Linked DNA regions of Drosophila melanogaster. The protein of the gene in region 1 binds, or shares a complex with, the protein of each later gene. Each region holds a gene or a part of one and is shown in the gene's direction. Other genes may lie near its edges.

The links. The genes of interacting proteins can lie anywhere in the genome.
Region 2: the proteins of DIP-alpha (region 1) and dpr6 are in contact, whole or in part, in a crystal structure (PDB 5EO9), measured with the Drosophila melanogaster proteins. Residues at the interface, in NP_001259218.1 of Drosophila melanogaster: Tyr71, Arg72, Val73, Gly74, Leu76, Ala78, Thr80, Lys81, Ala82, Ile83, Ile86, Ile91, Thr92, His93, Asn94, Met123, Gln125, Leu126, Asn127, Thr128, Asp129, Met131; in NP_001261675.1 of Drosophila melanogaster: Asn102, Lys103, Thr104, Ser106, Ile108, His110, Asp112, Ile113, His114, Ile115, Val118, Tyr121, Tyr123, Ser125, Asp126, Glu156, Gln158, Ser160, Gln162, Val164.
Region 3: the proteins of DIP-alpha (region 1) and dpr10 are in contact, whole or in part, in a crystal structure (PDB 6NRQ), measured with the Drosophila melanogaster proteins. Residues at the interface, in NP_001259218.1 of Drosophila melanogaster: Tyr71, Arg72, Val73, Gly74, Leu76, Ala78, Thr80, Lys81, Ala82, Ile83, Ile86, Ile91, Thr92, His93, Asn94, Met123, Gln125, Leu126, Asn127, Thr128, Asp129, Met131; in NP_001261676.1 of Drosophila melanogaster: Asn82, Lys83, Thr84, Ala86, Ile88, His90, Asp92, Leu93, His94, Ile95, Val98, Tyr101, Tyr103, Thr104, Thr105, Asp106, Glu136, Gln138, Ser140, Gln142, Val144.

The regions. Positions count from the first base shown.
Region 1 is NC_004354.4:3,527,641-3,532,417, reverse strand, and holds the start of DIP-alpha (Dpr-interacting protein alpha), read left to right. Parts: upstream 1-1,752; 5' UTR 1,753-1,997; coding exon 1,998-2,103; intron 2,104-4,777.
Region 2 is NT_037436.4:9,973,066-9,977,665, forward strand, and holds the start of dpr6 (defective proboscis extension response 6), read left to right. Parts: upstream 1-1,585; 5' UTR 1,586-2,779; intron 2,780-4,600. Other genes in the region: CG42455 (uncharacterized protein), read left to right, coding at 29-186; vnc (variable nurse cells), read left to right, coding at 211-801.
Region 3 is NT_037436.4:10,183,094-10,187,799, reverse strand, and holds the start of dpr10 (defective proboscis extension response 10), read left to right. Parts: upstream 1-1,691; 5' UTR 1,692-1,875; intron 1,876-4,706.

The DNA.
Region 1 (4,777 bases):
ACTAATGGGAATTTGGATCATCCTCAAAGCTTTCTGGTAATTTTAAATTCTCCTATCAAACTTTTTTCCTCGCACTTTCAACGATTTTCTTCGCTATTCTCCGCTTTTCCTGTGGATAATTGCCGAAAAGTTTTCGTCGTGGCATTCAAGGAATCGCACTTTGATTTGTTGCAGCGCATTTCAGCTGATGGCGGAGCAGCTGCAATTCATTTAAGCGGATCGGGTGGTAAAAATTGCGTAATGGCATAATTATGCCTCAGCCCCATTTCTCTACCCCAGACCCATTCATCAGCAAAAGTCTGAGGCGTAATTGAGTTATTTAATGGAAAAGTTGAAGACACTATCCACAATTTAAGATGACTGGCATCCGCTGACATTTAGAATCTAGCGTCTATTGGATAATTAAGCCACTTTGTGATAGCTTTGACAGCCCTGACTTTCGGTCCTGTCACATCGTGGCCAAAGATGTGGTCCCTCCCCCAGCGAATTTGTGACGCCTCTGAGGACCCAAAAAACTGACAGTTAAAGTTCAATTAAATTCCAGTGCAATCTACCTATTTTCCCGACATTGAAATATTGAAAATTATGTCAATTGGGATTTCGATTGGGATTGTGTCGCCTGCTTATCTGACAGAATGCAGAATGCACTTCGAAACTTTTTCCGCCCAACGCTGGCAAAGTTGCTCCTTTCGATGGCCAAATGGAAATGGGGTATTGTTGGGGTGGTTGATCAACCACCGAATGTCAGCTGGAGGCCAGTTCGAAACGGACAACTTATGAGGACCTCCGGGAAAAGTAATTGGCCATGCATATGCGAAACTCAAAATGATTCAAGCGCATTTTGTAGACCAAATTGCATACGTAAATCGATGTGGAATGTGGCTAAGTGGTTGTACCAACAAATTTGGCACAAAAGTCAGGGTTCAATAATGCAAATCAAGTAATTGATCTGCAGCTGAGAATATATCATTTCATTTGTTTCAAATCGTAGGGTTACGTTTTCTGTGACATAAAAGTATTTGGTTAGATATTTTGCATGTCACTATTAGCAATAATATTATTATAAAACTGTATTATCTGCGTGGAAATTATATCGGTTAGCAAAATCGGTAGCCCTTAACCTTTGATGAGGCCCATTGCGATGAGGCTTTCTAAAGAAAGGTGCACATATATAGCACATAGTGCTTGCTGAAATTTTTAGTGGTCTCACTAACTCGACTTGAGTTCTTGGTGAAATGTTGTATCCCAGGGACCTGTCGCAATCTCGAGTTCTTCACAACTGGCGCCCAACGCGCGGACCCTCCTGTCACTCCATTTGGACGCTGTGGTCGCAGGAGATTCAGATTCTGCCAGGCGGTGGCCAAATGCCACCACAGCTTGTAGCAATTGTCGTACCATTTGTCAGACGAATGTGGATGACACTCCTCCTCCGAAGGACACGGCGCCTGCGCCGCCAGGACATCCCCCCGCCGGCATCTAAGAGCTATGCGTTCCACCACGTGCCCGCCATGTGGATCGCATTCGGCACATGGTGGACGGCGTTCGATTCGAACATCCACTTCGACAATTGGCAACGAGGGTTCGTCAGCAGGACATTCGGGACGGCTGTTCGGTTTTACAGTATCCAACGGCTAACGATTACGACAGGACTTCGTGTCGCTTCGTTCGAAGCTCGTGCCATTTCGGTGCCGTCGATTTGTTCGTTTTCGGTCGTCCTCGAGGCCACAGGATGCTTATTCCGGCAGCTGCATCTTCAGTTGATCAACGTCGGCGCTGTCGGCTGGTTGAAAAACAGTCAAACGGAACTCGAAGCTGCACTCTCGGAATACTCGCGTCTTTAAGAAATAATTATTAATATAAAAAAAAAAAAATACTCTAAAGCATATACATTTGGGTGAATATTTTTTTTAACATTTTTTTAGTGCAGTGAAACTGTTTTTTTTTTCTCCGCGTGACGATCGCAAATGTGTTTGTGTTTGTGAAGTTATTGAAACCAAATGCCAGTCTCGGCGAAACGCTTACTTCGGAATTTTCAGTTCACCAGCTGCGATCGGAATGGCAAAATGTTGATTCACCTGCTGCTCATCGTTTCGCTTCTGGAAGGTAAAAGGATCATTAGATCATTAAAAAAATATCGAAAAACGGATTGTACAAAATGTTGAAAACTATTGCGTGTGTTCTTGATTAATACAATATTTCGAATTGAAAATAAAAAAAAACCCAAGGCCGAAAAGAAATTCCTTTACAATTCGAGTAAATTGATTTTTGGTCTGTCATAGTTTCTTCATAAATTCTTCACCTAGAAACTGTTAAAAGTTTCCGACAAACTTATTACCTATAAAGTAAAGTACTACTTAAAAATCGACGCTGATAATAATACTAAAAAGCTGGAAAATGGTCATAAATAAAATATTCTCTTATTCAAAGTTTAATTTGTTTTAGTATGTAATATTTTCAAAGCGGATCGTTTTAATTACCGTCGGTCCGCTCATTTAAAAAGAATTCAGAAATATTCTGCATCAATTAAAAATAAAAATTTATCAACTATACTTCAGTATAAAAATCTGTTAAACTTGTTCAATCAGCTGAAAACTTAATTTTTGGTGCTGCGTAATGCAACCAAAGTATTACATTAAAAAAAAATTCAGATCTGGTCAGTGAGCTGGCTTTTGGCCTGATCCGTTTGAAGAGTGCTTATAGGAGTTATCGGGAGCTTATCAGGTGTTTATCGTAGCCGCATTCTGCCCGAATGCAACCCTGCAATCAGTGTTGTGCAGCGACGGAAACGGAAATCGAACGGACGGACGCAATCCGGCGGGAAAGCGAACGCAAACCGACTTGATAATTGTTTCGCCGTATTGCGGCGCCCTATTGAAACCCCTAAATGATAGGTAGAGCGGGGAAAACAGGCGATTAATAACTGCTGGAGACTGCTTAATGCACTGTCATGGATACCATTCTCCATATTGCATTTTGCCCGCTGCATTGTTGCCATTGCCATTGGGCATTAAAACGTATAAATAACAAACAAATAAATAAATAAACAAAAGACAACGCGCAACATCGAAAACTGAACGCTGACCATTCAATGGCGATTTAATTGACTCACTCATCCACTTACATTTACATTTACATCTGCACTCACATTTTCAGAACTGATCCCACTGATATCAGGATTCGAGCCAAATCTGTTCAACGCGATTACAGTATGTTTCGAAACTATAGAGCGGCTTAAAACACAATGATAGCCGGTAATGATAGTAAATACAATTTTTATTAAGATTTTTAAAATGTTTGTTGAACAAATGTTTGTCTCTTTCATTAAAACTACCTTCAGATGTCGTTTAATTTTAGCGATACACTGTCTGGTCACTGAATCGTGCGCACATATTTCTCGCCTCATTTTAATTGTGCAAAAATTATGTTTTCACCTTGCCCACTTTCCCGCCGTTACTCCCTCCCCCCCCCTTACCACAATATTCCCTGGGCAAATTTTCACCTGGCCGCCGGTGATTGCTGTTCCGATTGTCTGACCATCGTATGATAATTATAAAAAATGAAGTGCCAAATTGTTCACGTCGGCGCGACAATCACAAATACTTTCCTTCCTCGCATTAAATATTTACGGCACGGTCTTTATTGTTTGCGATTCAGTCTAAAAACAGTTGGCCCATTGTTTTATTCCCCAGTCAATGTGGTTAAATCGTATCATTAATTTTGATTCGCTTGGGGCTTTCCGAATGGGCCGAAGTAGATTTTCCAAAATCGGTGGGGCTGTTAACCGAACTAATTCCGAAATCAGCTTTATTATGACTCAATAAAACTTTAATAGACAAGCCAGCACTTATAAGAACAATGCGTGCTAAACTGTTTATTATGGCATATAAATTGAGAACCGAATACTTATGCAGTTCAAAATGCTTGTACCAATACCAAAATGTTTGTACAAAATCGTTTTAAAATATTACAATTCGCTTAATATTAAAGGTTATTTAAAATATGAACCGACCAGCCTTTGGATCAAAATCTATTATTTAACACGTGTCAATGGTGCGAAAATGCCTCGACAAAACCTCAGGAAGTCCAACTAGTAGCAAAACTATTCCCATAATGTTGATAATTATGCATGGACGTGGCCCACGCTTCGTGGGCTCGGTTCGCATAAATACGAAATACATACATACATACATGCATGCAGATGTGCATATTTAAAGCACTTAAATCACGGCAAACAATAATTCCCATGCGACGATAATGCCGCAGATGGAAATGCTGGATGTAGGATGTAAAATGGCAGTTGATAATGATAAACATAAAAGTGAAAATAATTTTCAATTACAGCAACATTAATAACCGATAATAATCCTAAGCAAATATAATGTGCATGTGCGTGTTTGTTACTGTGTGTGCATATCAATGATATGCAAATTAATTGCCAAACACCGACACCCACCGCCCCGCCCCCCAAGGACCACGCCCGCCCACCGGATGTGAAATGTAAGCTAAACCGCAGTATGGCCAAATGGCGGGAGCGAGATAGCGCCATTAATGGCCATTCTGTTGCCGTCCCACGAGTGACTTAATTGATACCAACAGCACCGGCCGTAACCACGATTTTTTGCACGCATGCACGGTGAAATAACAGAAAAAAAAAATATGCTTCTCTCACTTCAATTATTATTTTTGATAATTGCTATTTATAAATATCATTAATTTTTCATTAAATCCGCCTCCAAAATCCTTGAGACTTAAAATTCTTCCAGTTAAAATTGCGTAC
Region 2 (4,600 bases), on another chromosome or scaffold:
GTCATATTGAAATTTGTCTATTTTGCAGGCTGGTTCCTCATCTGGAAGGCGTTTCTATCGAAATTTCGTCTGGTTCGAGAGCTGTTGGGTCAGGAGGAGCCGGAGGATCAGCAACCACTTGCTTGGGATCATCAGAATCAACAGCCACACCACCACGGCAGAGCCAGGAAAGCTCGCCGAGACTAGGAAGCACATCTACACAGCCTCACCATGAACATCCGCTGCGCAAAACCGGAAGACCTAATGACCATGCAGCACTGCAATCTGCTGTGTCTACCCGAAAACTACCAGATGAAGTACTACTTTTACCACGGACTAACCTGGCCTCAGCTTAGCTACGTGGCCGTTGACGACAAGGGCGCCATTGTGGGCTATGTCCTGGCCAAGATGGAGGAGCCGGAGCCCAATGAGGAGAGCCGCCATGGGCACATCACCTCGCTAGCGGTCAAGCGTTCCTATCGGCGATTGGGCCTGGCCCAGAAGCTCATGAATCAGGCCTCCCAGGCCATGGTCGAGTGCTTCAATGCCCAGTACGTGTCCCTGCACGTGAGGAAGAGCAATCGGGCTGCCCTGAACCTCTACACCAACGCCCTCAAGTTCAAGATCATCGAGGTGGAGCCCAAGTACTATGCCGATGGCGAGGATGCATATGCCATGCGACGCGACCTCAGCGAGTTTGCCGATGAGGATCAGGCCAAGGCTGCGAAGCAGTCAGGCGAGGAGGAGGAGAAGGCGGTCCACAGATCCGGCGGACATGGCCACTCGCACAACCACAGCGGTCACGATGGCCATTGTTGCTGAACACTTTCGCTGCCGGCGCTTGCTGGCTTCGACGTTTTTTGCATTTTTGTGCATTAGGGTTTTGTAATTATTTAACAATAAAAAACGTAACTAAAATTAAAACAAAAGTAATGACAAAAAGATAATGTTTTTAACAATAAAGGGTTTGAAGGCCATTAAATCAGTAATAATAATACTATTTACGGTTTCTGTTTCTAATTGCCAATCTAAAATGCATAAATGCATTAAACACCTATTAAGACGAATTTTTTGATTTTATTTTGAGTAGAGTTTTAGAAGAGAGTGGTTTTCTAAACTCCCCAAATAATTTATAATATCTACCATTCTTTTGTGCTAGAGCTCTGGTTAACCCAAGTAATGCGAAAATTTATGCCAAATGTGGGTTAAAAAATGTGCGCTTTTTGTAATGTGAAAAGTTTGTTGGCCCGAAAAGTTGGCCAAGCGGAAAGATGTCTTTATGTGCGAAGTGTTGACTTTCGCGCCAACTTTTGGGTGCCATCAAGTTGTAGGTGTCGTGTTGGTGGAGAAACTTTTATGGCATATGAAAATAGCTAGCAACCGTTCCCACTAAACCGATTTTCCAGTAACGGAGCTTTCTAATTTCCCAGTTTCCCGCGGCGAGCTCCTTTTGCGCATGCTCAGTGGAACATCTGCGGCAACAGCTGTTCGCTAGCCACGTGGAGTACGGTACTTTTCCGGATGGCGCCAAAGAGAGAGAGCGAAAGTACCGCAATCACAGCTGAGCTGAGATGCTGGCTTTTCGCGTATTTCGCCGTTCTTAAACTCAGTTCGTGAGGCGCTGGCTGAGCAAAAACAACATGTATGCGGATGTTTTATCAGTTTTCGGCTAGCTACGTAAAACGTGCGCAAAACCCAAATCGGAACTTCAGCTATTGTAGTGAAAAGTGCTAATAAAACCCTAACGGTAAAACCACTCTTTACAACGGGAGAAGAGGAAGAACGAAGGAAGTAGTGCTACTGCTACTGATGGGTTATAAAAAACTAACGGGAAATGACTGGCATTTATTATGATTGTGGAAAAAACGCCCTGCCAAATCAATAAAAAACGCGGAAACAACAAACAATAAACAATTCGTTAGTGAAAAGCGCCGTTAAACATATGGAACTGTGAATGTGTTGAGGGAAAGTGCTTAAAGTTCCAACGGTAAACATACTTTATTGATGCGAAAGTTAAAGCCAATTGATAACCCCAATCGAATGAGAGCCTGATTTGTATTATATTTGCGGGCTATAACGCCTTGCTAAATCAATAAAAGCCAGGGCACTTCAGCAAACCCTTCATTCGGGCAATCCTCAGAACCCTCAAAACAGTCACGGACATAAATGTAAGCGCTTTTGGTGTTGAAAAGCCAAAAAGCCGGCCAGTGGTTCAAAAAGCCGGAGAATGGAAGCCAAGCCTCTGCTCTTCTCGTGTTGTTATTGTCGAAACGGGGTCAAAAGTTCGTGTCTCACTCGCTAATTCAACCACACAAAAAAGCGCACACACACTCGCACACTCGTACACCACCCAGATAACGGTTCCTCAAGTGCAAGCAAAGACACTGCGTCGCCCGTCTGGCAGAAAAGCATGAAAAAAGCATAAGAAAAGCATAGTAAAGCAGAAGAAAAGCAGACAAAAGCATTAGCCAAGTGCCAAGTAACTCAAAACTGCAGGCCTACCAAAGCCAGGGGAAAACCCACATACATACATACATAAATATGTATTTGGAAAACAACACCAAATCGCAGACAACAAACTAGGCCAAATTCCGCGGGGAAGCGGGAGAAAGCTCAATTGAAAAGTGCTCTGAAAATGAAGAGAAGTAAAATATAATAAAAATAAAACAATAGAAGTTCTCTGGCCATTTGTCAATGACTGGGCCACTCGCGTGACTGGCGATCCTCGGGGAAAGTGGAATAACTGCAGCTGCAACAGACTCCAGACTACGGCAAAAGGACTATTTCGAAAAATATTGTGGTAAGTCAACAGGATTTAGGCGGGCACTTTGCAGTAAAAGGTACCAGCTACATTACACCAATTATTGCAAAGTTTCCATCAAATTATATTGAAAAAAAATATATAACGTGTTAGGCTAGATAACATAAAGTTTAAATGAAAACAGATAGATAATGCGGTACTGTATCACATTTATCATATTCTATACATTTATGCAAGTAACTCACAAAAAATCCATTCGCAGTAATTTGCCAAGAATGCCAGAAGTAACGCCAACAATTTCTCGGGTTATTTAAATATGACTGTAATTTGAGCAAATGTCTCTTGAAAACTTATTTTCCCTTGATATGAAAATACACAGACTTCAGCGCACATGCTATCTGTACGAACTTTTCCTCACTTGTCAGCGGGAAGGCATATTTATTTATTTAAGTTTGCAGTGCCTTTTCCGCCTTCGCCGAAAACTTCAAAAGGCAACTCCACTATGTGTGGATGGTGTAATGACATTTTGTCAGCAGGATTATGCCAAATGCTGGCCTCCATCCCAACATCCCCTCATCGCCCTGCTGATGATGAGCCCCAAACATAACCATCGTCGTCGTCGTCATCATTGTCTTTGTCACTGTCAACGCGTCTTGCATCTGTCAGTGGCAGCAGAAGCATCCGATCCCCAAACGCCAGTCCCCCAATCTACCCCGCCCACCAAGAAAACCATCCAAAAACCCATCCCATTTCGAAATTCTTGTTCTTTCGTAGGGGTTCGCATCATTTTTAAGCAAACATTTGCCGTAGCTTCAGTTCTGGTCCTTCCTTCTCTTTGGCACTACTGGCTGTTTGTTCGTGTTGTTTCTGCTGCTCCCGTCAAGTGTTTACTACTTTTTGTGTGCTGTTCTGTGTGTTTTTGTTGCTGCCGACTGGCGGTACGTGTTGGCTCACAAGATGTCAACAACTTTGCTTGCCACTCGCTGAAAAACGCCAGCTTTCTTGCAGAGCAGCGCAGGGTACCGCATCTGCTTTTGTTTTTTTTAATGCTGCTTTTTCTAGCCACGTTGATGAAATTAGCAATTTGATTAATTTCCTCCTTTCTATTTTTTTTTCCTTTCCTTAATTTTTAGAACATGAATACAAATAAGAAAAGTATTGTCTTGAAGAAATTCCGATATACATAGGCAAATCAACATTCTCTAAAACATATAATCTTATTTATTTGTTCTATCCATAAGCTTGTTTCATAGCCAGACCACAATTTCAAAGAACTTTTGCATGATGCTTGTAGGATAGTTTAAGTAATAAGTTAATAAGACTTGAATGCCTATTGATCCGCTGTAGAGCAATGTATCTGTGTTTTGTTGCATAGGCGACAGGCGCAGCTGTCAAAATGCTTAGCAATGGCCACGTGGCATCCGTTGGCGTTTCCGCTTGCCATTTCCGTTTCCGCTGGCCGGCTCTCTGGTCATCTCTCTCTCTGACGCAGGCAAGCAAAGGTGATTGATGGCCGCACTCGCACTACTAATTAAGGTTATTTAGCGAGTGCTCCTGGCCGTGGCCATTTTTCATTCCCGACGCGTTCTCGTTTTGTGCGGCTGTGGTCGTTCTACTCCAAGTGTTTATGGCTTCAATTCAATTAAACAACTGGGTCAGTTGTGGTCGCATTGGCACAAGGGCTTCCGCATCCGCATCCGGATCCGCATCCCCGTCGGGATGGCGGGAATCAACTTTCAGCGGCGTAATTAATTCTCCGACTGGGCCATCGGAGGACAAAGACGCATCATAAGTAAGGCGGCGGCAAAACAAGAAATAGAGCTGCCAGCAAATTGCATTTATAATTCATTTACTCGAAAT
Region 3 (4,706 bases), on another chromosome or scaffold:
TTGATAACTGGAGAAATGTTCTGCGCTCGAGTTGGTTAGGAGTTGTGGTAAACTTTACCGAGATGGACTCACAGCGGGTGGTGGATGCTGAATGGCAGCATGAGGTGGCCAAGGTCAGCGGAATGTCGGGCCATAATCGGCTTGTTTAATTAGCTCACTAAGCCCCACCTGGATGGGCATTATGTGGCTGTCGGAATAAGATGCTCTGATTGAAAGTGCCGCGTGGCTTGCCACAAAAGCGACAACTAATTGCCACATAATCAACAACAGCACAGCAGCACAAGCAGCCGCAAAAACAAGGGACAACTAAAGCCCAAGGCCGCAGGCGAGGTTTTTGGCTGGTTCTAGGCATGTGGGGTGGTGGTGCGGGTGTCACACAACTGAGTGGGTGGATTTTGAACACTTGCGCTTTTTACCAACTCAATTTACGCTAATTACTGCCTTTCGCTCCAGCGATAACTGCTGTCAGCTGGCTTGCACCCCGCCACTTTTCCCGGATTTTCATCATCCCGATACCGCATTCCCTTCAAAGAGCGGGAAATCCCTTAGCCGGCTACACAGTTTCCCATCTGCCACGCATATCCATACGCCGCGCGAATTTATATTGTCATTAGCTCTTTTTGTGCCAGCTTCAGTGTATATTATTGAAATCCCTGCCTTCTGGCCATATTATCCAATTCGCTGTTAAATCGTGGAAGAGCTAGTCTAAGAGCACCAAAGAATTGTTCAGTGCATGCGCACTCTTTGCCAAATTCCATACAATTTCTCTTTGATACTGACCTAAGTCTGTCAGTCTTGCTCAAGATATTGTCCAAGGCAGACGGTTTGCTTCCCTTATAGAGACGAAGTACCTAAATATAAATAAATGAGAACGTAGCATGCACAAAGCGTATATAATAATGATAATTTAATATTAAATTATCTAAAATAAATGAATATGTTCTTGGGAAAAATATTATAACTTTTCTCATTTATTAAAATTGAACTTAGGATCTTATGGAAGTATATGAAATAACATAGTTTCCTAAATTCAGTTAAGTAAGCATATAAGCAAGTAAAAAATAAATGGGATCAATAAGACATTATGTTGTTTTTGGGTTTTGCTATAGTGATTATGTTCTTTTTATGATCCTTCACTCCCTCAACCGGATTAATTCTTTTTATTTCAAGTTTCAACTAAAATGGCTTAGATTATTTTTTTTTAAGAGACCTATAATAAAGCACTCTAGCTGAAACATAAACTGAAATATTACTCTGCTTTTAAGAACTGGAATCCCTACGTGTCACTTAACTTCACTGCATTAAAATTAACTTAACCCCTTAAAAACAGGATCGTAAAGTCCGCTTTTATTTGCTTTGCGAACATAATTCGACCTCAAAAAACACCCTGCTGCCACTAAAAAAATAATCGCGGATTTCCAAAACTATTTGAAACCTTTTATTGTAAGACCTTGAAAGTGAACATAGTGTTGTGATTAAAAGAGAAGAGGAAATTAAGAGAGATAAATGCGGCGAATTCAGCTGAAATGCTCGGCACACGATTTTTCCGTCCCTCTTTTCCAACGACTTTTCCCGAGCCGAAGACAACAAACCCGAAGCGTCGCTGATAAAGGCTCGTATGAGTTCGGGAATCCCCCCCGGAGGCCCCAACAAATGCTCCACTGCTGCCAGAAATCAGTTTCAGTTTCTGTTTCAGTTTCAGCGCGACATCGACGGTGAACGAAAGGCGAAGGCGCGGAAAAGCGCGTGAAAATCCGAATAAAAAGTTGAGGGAAATGTGAGGCCCAAATACGTGAGGCGCGACATTTTCCGGACTATAGTGTATGTGTGTGTGTGTGCATGTGCGTGTGTTTCTGTGACTCGAGGCTAGAGAGTGTGAGTGCAAACGGATAAGAAAAGCGGGCACAATTGGGTCGTAAATTTTGGAAAACGTGTGAAAACGCAGGAAAAGCCTCATTGCCCCATTGCCGGCAGTCGAAAATTGAATGACCTTTTGTCGCTTTTTTTTTGTTATTCCAGTTACTGTTACTGCTGTTGCTGCTATTGCTCTTATTGTTAAGCTAAAACGCTTTCGGCACGCGAATATTTTACGACATCGTCTCCAAAAATTATACACCTAAAAAAGAAAAGTAATCAGAAATCTAACGAAATTCGGTGCGTGTCAGCTGCTTGCCAAATGTGGGGCCAGAAAAAATGCAGGAAAAGAATTCTGTCTGCGGACAAACAAATTATAAAAGTGTTAAACGCCCACACAACGTCCTCCAGCCCCGCCCCTTGGCCATCTCATTAGCATGCAGCAAATTAAGTTGTTTTATATTTAGACCGCCAAAGGGGAGCCCAGACCCCAAATACAAATTAACAAATTAAAACAACACACAAATGCCAAACAAAAAACAGAACCAAACCATCTTTGATCTGCGTCAAAACAAAAAAAGCGCTGCCACAAATATCGAGCGTTAATACATTCATTTCTGTGTAATCTAATATTCCGGCCGAGGGGAGACACTAAAAGAATGTGACAAAAATTAATAGAAAACCCATAAAATATTAACGGAAAACAAGTGTGCATTGAAATTTACGACAGACTGATCACAGTGCGTATGCGCAATGTGCGTCGCCGCAAGAACCGAAATATATCTCTCGTATGGGTATGATAAGATGTTGTGGCTGTTGGGGAAAATTAAGTTTCCTTGGGAAAAAACTTTCGCTTGTCTCAACTGCAGTTGTTGATGGAAAAGTTTTGTCGAGTGCCAAGCACTTTGGCTTTTCAACGATTTTACTTTTGCCCGCCCCAGCACCATTGTGTTGTGGTATCAACTTTTGAGGCCACGAGCTTATGTGCAATCCTTGCCTGACATCCCCAAACACAATTAAATTGTTTCCTTTCTTTGTTCTCGCACATAATGCCATGTAGCCAATAAAATGTGAAACCCTTTCTCAATAAAATATTCATACAGCAGGAATTAACCGGCACACAATGGGGCAGAAACAAAAGCAAAGATTGCCCACGGGCATTGGGTGGGTGTGGGTAGGGCAAATTAAGCCCACCCGGAACTAGAGTTGCCTCCTAATCACAGTTACTAAACATTAGAGCAGACACTGCCCCCAAGCTGAGAGGCAAAATGCAGACGCTTACAATTAGAAAGAGTGGCAAGAGGACTCTCAGAAAGAGAGGGGGGATAGTGGCAACGAAGGAGATGGGAATAGTAGCAATTGAGTGCGTTAACACTTTTGAGAGACATTGCTGACGTTGGCAGGAGTCTCAGACTCCGTCCCTGAATCCCGAATCCTTCCCTCGAGAACCTGGCCCTCCTGGTTCGCACATTCTGGAACCCCTGGCCCCTCCCTAATTCCATTACGGAGGCAACAGTGACAAGTGGCCAAGGATTCCAGCCAGGATTCCCAACAGGAGCAGCATGTCAGCAGCAGCCACTTCTGATTGAAGTCGCACACAGAGGTTTCTGCAGGCAAAAAAATTAGAGATCAGGGATCAGATCCTTTTTAAGGATTTGCTTTAAAACTATATATTTTTTAAAATATATACATGAGATATCGTATAAGCTGCTTAGCAATATTGCATTAAAATGTATATTTTATATCAATGATTTATGATGGCAAGAGTTTGTGCATTGATGATTCATAAATTTTTTATTGTTTGAAGTTCTTTTTTGAAGTCCTTTTATAATATTTGTTTATTTTTAATCAATAAATCTAAATAATTGTTATACAAAATCTTATTCAATTGTTTCCATTATACATAATTAGTTTCCATTGTTTCATGCGAAAATCTTTCCATTGTTTCACTGTACCGGCTGATTAATTTTTTCTCAGCATGTCGAATGAGTCCTGCAGTTGAACTCAGACCTTAATCCCATCCCCCTACTCATTAGTCTGTCTGTCGTCTCTTTGGTGCAGCGGAGTTTGCAATTAATTAAGTTTTAATTAATTTCACACAGTGCAAGAGGGAAAAATTCGAAAGGAAAACACACACCGTGTTTCAAGGGGCGTGTGAAAAAGGCAATTCCCCAGCAAATGTTTAACAAATTAGATGTGAGGAGAAGTGCCCGAGTAGCATAAAAGTTTTTCCCCTGGGCAGGGCAATTGATTGATGCCAAAGTGAATGGATGGATGGCAGCAGGTCTGAAAATAGCCTCAGCCGGAAAATGGGGCGTTACTGCTTTGAACAGTTCTCCAAAAACGACTCATAATTTTGGGGTCGTGGGGGCGTTGAATTATTTTCGGATCCGGACACATGCCACCGAAGTTTTAGGAAATGAAATATGCAAGGGCAGCTGACCAGAGACACTTCAATCCAACTTCTGTCAAAAATTGATTCTGGTTTATGCATTAACCATTATTAATTGTATGATGTGAGCATGTCCTTCAAGGGAAACTGGATTGGGCGTGTAATGTTCTTCTAATTTGTGGTGTAAACTTTTGTGCGCTCATGGAGAGGGAAAAGGATTCCATTTTAGGCCACTCACCTATTGAAATCAATAGTGGATTGCTTAGAGAAAGAGCTGTTTTATTGGTTAGCAGAATTTCTAGAATCTCTTCGAGAAAATCCTTGTTTTTACCATAGTTTATTATCCATTAAAGTCTGTTATTATCCATTATCAGCCCTAAAATCAACACAAATTTAATCAATTCATGTTCCACGACATCAAGGGTGATGCGACGAAAAAAAAAAAACAACGAGACCCGGA